Xenopus tropicalis: one gene and its partner. The protein of the gene in region 1 binds, or shares a complex with, the protein of each later gene. Links are inferred from orthologs where the notes say so. Each region holds a gene or a part of one and is shown on either strand. Other genes may lie near its edges. The genes, in order: prkg1 and cnn1.

Region 1 (4,413 bases):
TGGGTACTTTCAGGGTTAAGCCACCATTTGACTGGGAGTTGTAAAAGCCGAGTACCCCCTGTCCTACCCTGAAACCAGCATAGACTATCAGTCTTCCTGTTATAATCATCATATTTGCCCCTATGCTGTGCCTGCAAGTCTATTTCACCCCAAATGACCTCCATGCTGAGCCCCCCAGAGAGAACATTCCTCTGGTCCAACAGCTGCATATTATAAGCAGAGAAGCATAAGCCTTGGGAGGAAGGGGGAGTGGCTAATTAGTTAAGGAGCCAAAGGGTTAAACCAAAAGTTCTATAAAATACAGAATTGGAGTCAATAGTTTGAAGTCAGTAGTAAAAGAACGATTAAACCTTTGTCACCCAGAGCATTTGCTCAACAATGTTATCGGTGTAAGTTTCCCTTCTCACATATAGATTGTAAGCTCTTGGGGCAGAACCTCTGTTGCTGTTGTATGGTGCTATTCCCTCTTGTTCTACCTGCTTCTCAGACATTCAGGTTTCTGTCACTTTAAGATCTTATAAACAGATAGTGTGTGAATGGCAGGCATTGGGACCAGGGTATCTCCTGTAACATAGCAGATTAAAGGGAAACTATACCTAAAAGCTAAATATTTTGCAGACAGTGTCATCTAAAAAAAGGTCAAACATACAGGTTTGGCTGGTTTGGTTGCCAATCTTACAGATCTTTTTTCCGACATGATCTTGGTCCTGTTTACTCAGGCTCCTCAGTTGCTGAGGTCAGCATCTATAGCAACCAGGCTGAGGTCAGTGTCTATAGCAACCACGTTGCAGTTTATAGTCTAGAATTTCACAATAAATGTAAGTATTAAGCCCAGGTTAACATAGACTGATCGTAGAAGCCCCCTAGGATTCTATATTGGAGCCTGTAAGCGCCAAGACCCCCAGCTTCTGCTGAAAGGATTTTCAATTTCCTGAGTCCATGGTATGAATAAAAAGTATGGCTGGCACCTGTACGTACACTTACAGATACAAGTGGCGGCTGCCCGAGGAGCTGTGTGCGTGACCAGGAGACTGTGCCATCCGTCTATTGCCCTGAATGCCATTGTCATAAACACTCCCAGCGGGAGGCAACTAGAAGCGCCGCCGAATCCGTGTTCCCAGCGTGAAACAGATGTATGGCTTTACTGAGAGAGAGCTGGATTCCCATCATACCCACAGGGATCAGCAACTCTGCAGCCGGTATGGGTAGAACTACAACTCCCACTATCCCCCATGGTGGGGTGCTGGGAAAAGGGAGCCTTGGGGGAGGGGGTATAACCAACAAGAGAGGGCAAACCTGCAAACTACAACTCCCAGAATCCTCTGTGCAACACCTGTGATGGTCGGGGATATATTCCCCTCTCTGCCCCGACCAAGCTTCGGAATAAAGACATTCAACAGCTGGAAGAGCCAATCACAAGTTACTCAGGCAGCAAAGTTCCATGGTAAGTTCTACCAGGCAGGACTCGAATGCTTGCACCAGGTCTAGTAACCCATAGCAACCGTTAAGCTTTTCCCTTTCAACCTGGCGACCAGAGAAATGGTTCTTCCATTCTGGTCGCTAGGGGTTACTAGACCTGGTAGAAACTTTTATGACATTACCATACTGGTGGCTGTGCTCTGGCTGATAGTAACACCTAGGGGCTACAGATACATAGTGGTGGATTTCAATAACAAGGGGGGCAAGTAGACTGACTCTTTATTTTAAAGGGAACACTACATTGCAGGACATTTTTTTTGTAATAACCCCCATCCCCACCACTTTGCAGATCTGCAGAACATCATTCTAATTCCCCCATGCCTTTACACATACATTGTACAGCAATTGCCCCCTATATAGAATTATACTGACCCCCCAAGACATAAATACAATCCACTTTACTTTCAGCAATGGCAGCAAACCAACAGCAAGCTCTATATACACTGTATATTTATATGTATATATATATTTACATACCTTGACATGGCACAAGACAGATGGATGCAGACAGAGGTGTTAGTTACACATTATTTCAGAAGATGAGGACAGAATGGAAAGCAGAAGGTACAGGAGGAGACTGTCTGTATATAAAATACACAAGTGGATGGACAAAGACAAAATAGAAAAAATAAAAATAAAAACAACAGATTGGGTTAAAAAGACAGGGATAGGACAATTACACAAGGCTGCAGCTTACTGTGGGCTCTTGGGGTAGAAGGGAAGAGTGACATGGCTCAGCTCTTGGATGTCAATGGCAGTTGGCTCTGCAGAAATAGCCTGTCTCTTGGTCCTCTGCTCCCCCAAAGTGGTGGGGTTCTGTTTGTGAACCTGTTGGGTGGCCGGTTTGATGACAGATCGGTACTTATCCAGTTCGTTCTGGAGCCTCTGGATCAGCTCATCCTTCTGATCCAACTCCAGCTCCAGTTCGTCTATGAGCGCATCCCTCTGCCTGAGCTCCTCTATCTTCTCCTGCAGAGCGTACTGCAAGTCCCTCAGAGTGCCCATGTTCCCGGCAGGGGCCACGGCTGCCTTTCCTTCTCCTTTCGTCGTCTTCTCGGCCACTTCCAAGCCCCCAGCCCGAAGGAACCACCACAACCTCTCGGTCGCTCCCAAAGCGCTCCTTTGCGCAATGAAGGTCCAACTTCTCCTGGTCTTGGAGACGCGTCTCCGCTCCAACCAAGGGAGGCTGCTGGTCAGATCCAACTTTGCTCCCCACACCTGGGTGGGTTCTACTCTCAGTTGTTGCTCCCCAACCCCGGATAACTTTTAGGGTTCTCCCAAATGAATGATCCAGGACAAAGGGTCTCCTTAAGCCATGACATCATAAATAAAGGCGAACTTTGCGCTAAAGCTTTCACCATCCAGATCCAATGAGAAACTGCTCCCACTGCCCAAAAATAAACCCCAAGACCCTGTTTGTATTGCAGCCCACTTGTAACCAATCCACAGGTCCGTTCCTCTGTTCCTGGAAGTCTTCTTGCTCCTGTTTCGGCCACACAAGTCTTCTCCTGGAGAGTCCACCAAGCTCAGCTGTTGCGTGTGGCTGCTACAACGTGCGACAGAGGCAGCGGCAATCAGAAGCCGAGGCAGGGAGGAACATTAGCATGCATGGTCTCTGCAAAAGGCAAAAAAAAAAATCCCCTCCCCTCTTTCAGAGGAGTCTTGGCTGCAGGATTGCAAGGGGAAGCAAAGGGGGAGAGACATAAACATGGGCAGAGAGGGGCTCCTCCTTGTACTCTGAGCTGGGGCTGATCATCTGCAGCCCCTCACACTGTCTGCTCTCTGCTGCAGGGGTCCTGTTAACCCCATCACTGCCTCCTCTCACCCCTTTCCTAGACTGCTGCTGTTACCTAGGCACCCTATTAACCATGGCACTCACTTGCTCTGCTGCTCACAACTGTATTATTCTTAGTAACACAGAGAGAAGCACATGAGCAGCAGCAAGGCAGGGAGCCAGCAGGAAAGGATTCATTATTAGTAGGGTCCAGAAGCCACACGCTTTATAATTAGAGTAGTGGCAGTCGCAGACTACAATTGCCCCAAAGCTTTTGGGCTGAGTTGGTCAGGGGCAAAAGGGAAAGGGGACTGTCATTTTAAATGAGGGAAGAAAGTAGGGGGTGTCCTGTCTAAAAAGGACTTTTATCAGAGGAAGTTTTGGAGGAGCCCCTGAAACATGTGTGGGGGTTCCACATATTTATACAGTGTCTATGGCTCACTGACAGTTGTGTATGGAAATAATAAAGCATCCACTTTTTGTGATATTGTAAAGGTACTTCCCTCAATTGTCCAGTGAGTCCTTGGTGACTTCTAATATCCTTATCATTTACAGTAGGGGGTACATTATCCCTTATAATACATGAGTGATACTCAGAGTTCCCTGTATAACTCAGCCTGCAGCCTTGTGCCTTTATATGGGCACAGAACCCCTCAGTGACTGCTAATATCCTTATCATTTACAGTAGGGGGTACATTATCCCTTATAATACATGAGTGATACTCAGAGTTCCCTGTATAACTCAGCCTGCAGCCTTGTGCCTTTATATGGGCACAGAACCCCTCAGTGACTGCTAATATCCTTATCATTTACAGTAGGGGGTACATTATCCCTTATAATACATGAGTGATACTCAGAGTTCCCTGTATAACTCAGCCTGCAGCCTTGTGCCTTTATATGGGGGGCACAGAACCCCTCAGTGACTGCTAATATCCTTATCATTTACAGTAGGGGGTACATTATCCCTTATAATACATGAGTGATACTCAGAGTTCCCTGTATAACTCAGCCTGCAGCCTTGTGCCTTTATATGGGCACAGAACCCCTCAGTGATTTCTAATATCCTTATCATTTACAGTAGGGGGTACATTATCCCTTATAATACATGAGTGATACTCAGAGTTCCCTGTATAACTCAGCCTGCAGCCTTGTGCCTTTAT
Region 2 (3,602 bases), on another chromosome or scaffold:
TGCCCAATCGGTCTTAAGGGCCCAAATCAACAGCTGAAATCTGTGTATGGCCACCTTGTAGCCTAGGGAGGCAACCATTTGTTCTGATAAATCTGCTCATCTAGTGAACTTTGCACTATTTGGGTCATACACTGGGTCATATCAGGGCATATGAGTTCCATATGGAGAGAATCAAATCTACATTCAGATACAGTCCTCGTCAAAAACGATTTCCAAAATTGTTGTATAGACATCTGGTCTTTTTTTGGGCCAGATATGTTGGGCAGGCTGAGCAGCAGACTCCATACAGCAGCCAATAAGCTGCCAACTCAGCCTGTAGGGAGCTGGCAGCTTTTATCAGTCCATTTATGGTGAGCTGCACACATGTTGGCGAGCACAGAGGCAGGCAAACGTCTTCGTCTTGCTTTATAGAGGCACCAGAAATGCAGAAACTTCTGCCATCCGCTGGAAGACACAGGGAGCAGGTACCAGAGAATGGCACCCACGTCTATGGGAGGATTGAAGGGCAATTGTGGTGCCTCCATTACTGTCTAATGTCCTGAACTTCCAGTATTATAAATTCCATCCTTTTCTACTAGCGATTTGTGGCTAATGAACATGGACAATAAAGTGTCCAGTGGATCCTTAATAGTTGTCTCCTCTGATTCCAGTTGGCGCAGAAGTATGATGTACAGAAGGAGGCGGAGCTCAGAGAGTGGATAGAGGGCCTGACGGGAAGAACCATTGGGAAAGGCTTCATGGATTCTCTGAAAGATGGAATCATCCTGTGCGAGTAAGTTGGGGGGGCTAGCCAATAGGAAAGCTCGGTTTAATTCCCATGGCAGTTGCTAGCAAACAAAACAGGTTAATTTCACTGTGCCTTCAAGACCAAAACTACAAGCTTTGCGACATGGTTGGACGTCATGATAATATTATGGGATATAGATGGGGCAAAAATACTGCATTTGTTTCTGATTAGGCTAATCACTTCCTAGGTACAGAGTGGCACTAAGTTACCTTCCCTCAGGACATGCCCACCTACAGAACATCCCTCCTCCTATAGGAGGCCGTACACAGGTTGATTTGGTACGCTCTCCATTTATCCAATCAGACAGGGCCACACACGGCATGACTGCCTTTCTATTGTTACTATAGCTGGTGCAGTAGCTGATTTCACTGGCCATACATAGATCCTCTACAGAAGCCAAGATCCCACAGATTGCCCACCACCAAAGTGGTTTGACCAGTGGGTCAAATACAGTCAACATCCATGAAACATTTTGGTCCACAGAATACAAGGTTTCTTATCTCCAAATCCTTTCTCCAATATTGGCCAGGAGGTACGCGGTCACGTCCCAAAGGTTGGCACTGTACTGTGTGCTTTAAGCTTGAGAAATATAGGCCCGAAGGCTCAACAGGCAGATCATTGGCCACTTTGGTAACACCAATTATAACATGAGTTGTTTGGAACCATACCCATTAGGTAATACAGGTATATAGGTTCTCCTGGGAGTTAGACAACAAATAGAGGACTGCAGGTTTCCGTAGTGAATTCAATGTGGGGGCAAAACTGTTTCTATATTGTAATGGGGGGCAACTTAGCCTCACCTTCTCTGTCTCATTTCTCCAGGCTTATCAACAAACTCCAGCCTGGCACCGTTCGGAAGATCAACGAGGCGACCCAGAACTGGCACAAGGTGACCAGCAAATGGTTTTTCCTCACGGGACTGAGCAGCTCCGGGGAAAATGTTTTGAAATAATTATTAATTACCAATCTCTGTAACCTTCTAGTTGGAAAACATCGGAAATTTTATCAAAGGCATCACACAATACGGAGTGAAACCCCATGATATATTTGAGGCAAACGATCTCTTTGAGAACACCAACCTAACCCAAGTTCAATACACCCTGCTGGCATTAGCCAGTGTGGTAAGTATGTTGTGCCAGGCAACACTCTATCCAGGGCCGCCATTGGGGGGGGGGGAGAGGGGGAACAATTGTGCCGGGCCCCGTGAAATCTTCCAGGTGACACGAAAGTTATGTAAATTGTATAATTTACACTAAAACTTACACATAATTTACGTAACTTCCGCAAAAACTGCCTAGAAACTTAAGTAACTTGTGTATCAAGCTAAAGACAATGCAGAGAAGCTTTGCAGGGACAAACTCCACTGACCCCCAATGAATGAAAAACTTAAGGTAAATCCCACTGCCCCCAATGAACTGACTGACTGATTAGTTCATTATTAATTTTAACTATTTTTATCAACTGCTTATTATAGAGAAACATCAGCTGTTTATATTAGGAGATATTTACTGAATGATATCAGCATTTTCTACATTAAATTTCCAGCAGGAGAATAACTGGCTATTGGGCCCCACAACAACATCATTGGGCCCCTGCACTTACGCAATTTACTTAACTTTACTTTCTAAGAAACTTAAATAACTTATGTATAAACTCCACTGATCCCAATGAAAATACTGACTTATTAGCACATGAATCATGTTTACTATATTTATATACTACTACTGACTAGTTATTGGGCCCCACAGCAAAATCTTAACTTACTCAGTTTACGTAACTTGTGCAAACACTTACGTAACTTCCATATCAAAGCAACGAAAGCGCAGAGCAGAGGCAGGTAGGTGGGAAGGGGTTAATCTCAGGGCTAACTCCACTGCCCCCAATAAACTAAATGACTTATTAGCACATTAATCAGTGGAACTCTTCATATGAACGGCTTGTTATAGAGTAACATCAGCTGTTTATATTGCACACACAAGGGACATGGCCAAAATTTTGGTACTACGCACTTGTGTCCAATGGGGGCCCCAAAGTTTCTGAGGAGGCCCTGGCACTTGCGCACTTGGGCATGGCACCTACCCACCTTTCCAACACTGTGTATGTTTCAGGCCAAGACAAAAGGTGCCACAGTGGATATTGGAGTGAAATACGCTGACCGTCAGGAAAGGAAATACGACCTTGACAAACTCAAGGAGGGACGGAATATTATTGGGCTCCAGGTAAGTGGGCAAAACCACTACTGAACCCAACAGCGGCTTGTTGGTCACGTGACATTGTGCTGAAAATGTTTCTGCTCTTTATTGGCAGATGGGAACTAACAAGTATGCCAGCCAGAAAGGGATGACATCGTATGGTACTCGTAGGCACCTCTATGATCCCAAGCTGGCTAATGACCAACCACTTGACCAGGCAACAATCAGCCTGCAAATGGGCACCAATAAAGGAGCTTCCCAGGTGAGTAGATAGGAGCAGGGATTGACAACATCAGGCCATTAAACATTATACTGACAGACTGAGATCTCGGGGCATGTTTGGCATTTGTTACCACAAGATGTGGTTCTATTTCCCATCGTTTCCTGGACCCAATTCCAATAGCAGCTCTAATAGAGAATCAGCCGAAGAGAAGTGACGGGGAAGTGATCTTTGAGAAAATATGGAGAAGTAAGAAAGAATGAACTTAGTGGGGAATTACTAAATATAGTGGTAGTTAGGCAAAAAGGAGATGGTAAAACCAAGATGGCCGATGTCCGAAGGTGAATCATAGTAAAGTGGCCATAGACAGGCCAATAATCTGGTCCTTCTGGACTGAGTTAGC

What was found.
Region 2: prkg1 (region 1) and cnn1 share a complex: the UniProt entries of both Homo sapiens proteins name them as parts of the cGMP kinase signaling complex. The link is inferred for Xenopus tropicalis from reciprocal best matches to the Homo sapiens genes PRKG1 and CNN1.

What each region holds. Positions count from the first base shown.
Region 1 is NC_030683.2:13,398,622-13,403,034, reverse strand, and holds the start of prkg1 (cGMP-dependent protein kinase 1), read right to left. Parts: upstream 3,096-4,413; 5' UTR 2,485-3,095; coding exon 2,177-2,484; intron 1-2,176. UniProt on the Homo sapiens protein: Serine/threonine protein kinase that acts as a key mediator of the nitric oxide (NO)/cGMP signaling pathway. GMP binding activates PRKG1, which phosphorylates serines and threonines on many cellular proteins.
Region 2 is NC_030679.2:139,382,149-139,385,750, forward strand, and holds part of cnn1 (calponin-1), read left to right. Parts: intron 1-373; exon of another isoform or gene 374-422; coding exon of another isoform or gene 423-464; intron 465-650; coding exon 651-772; intron 773-1,609; coding exon 1,610-1,676; intron 1,677-1,770; coding exon 1,771-1,908; intron 1,909-2,895; coding exon 2,896-3,006; intron 3,007-3,094; coding exon 3,095-3,241; intron 3,242-3,602. UniProt on the Homo sapiens protein: Thin filament-associated protein that is implicated in the regulation and modulation of smooth muscle contraction. It is capable of binding to actin, calmodulin and tropomyosin. The interaction of calponin with actin inhibits the actomyosin Mg-ATPase activity.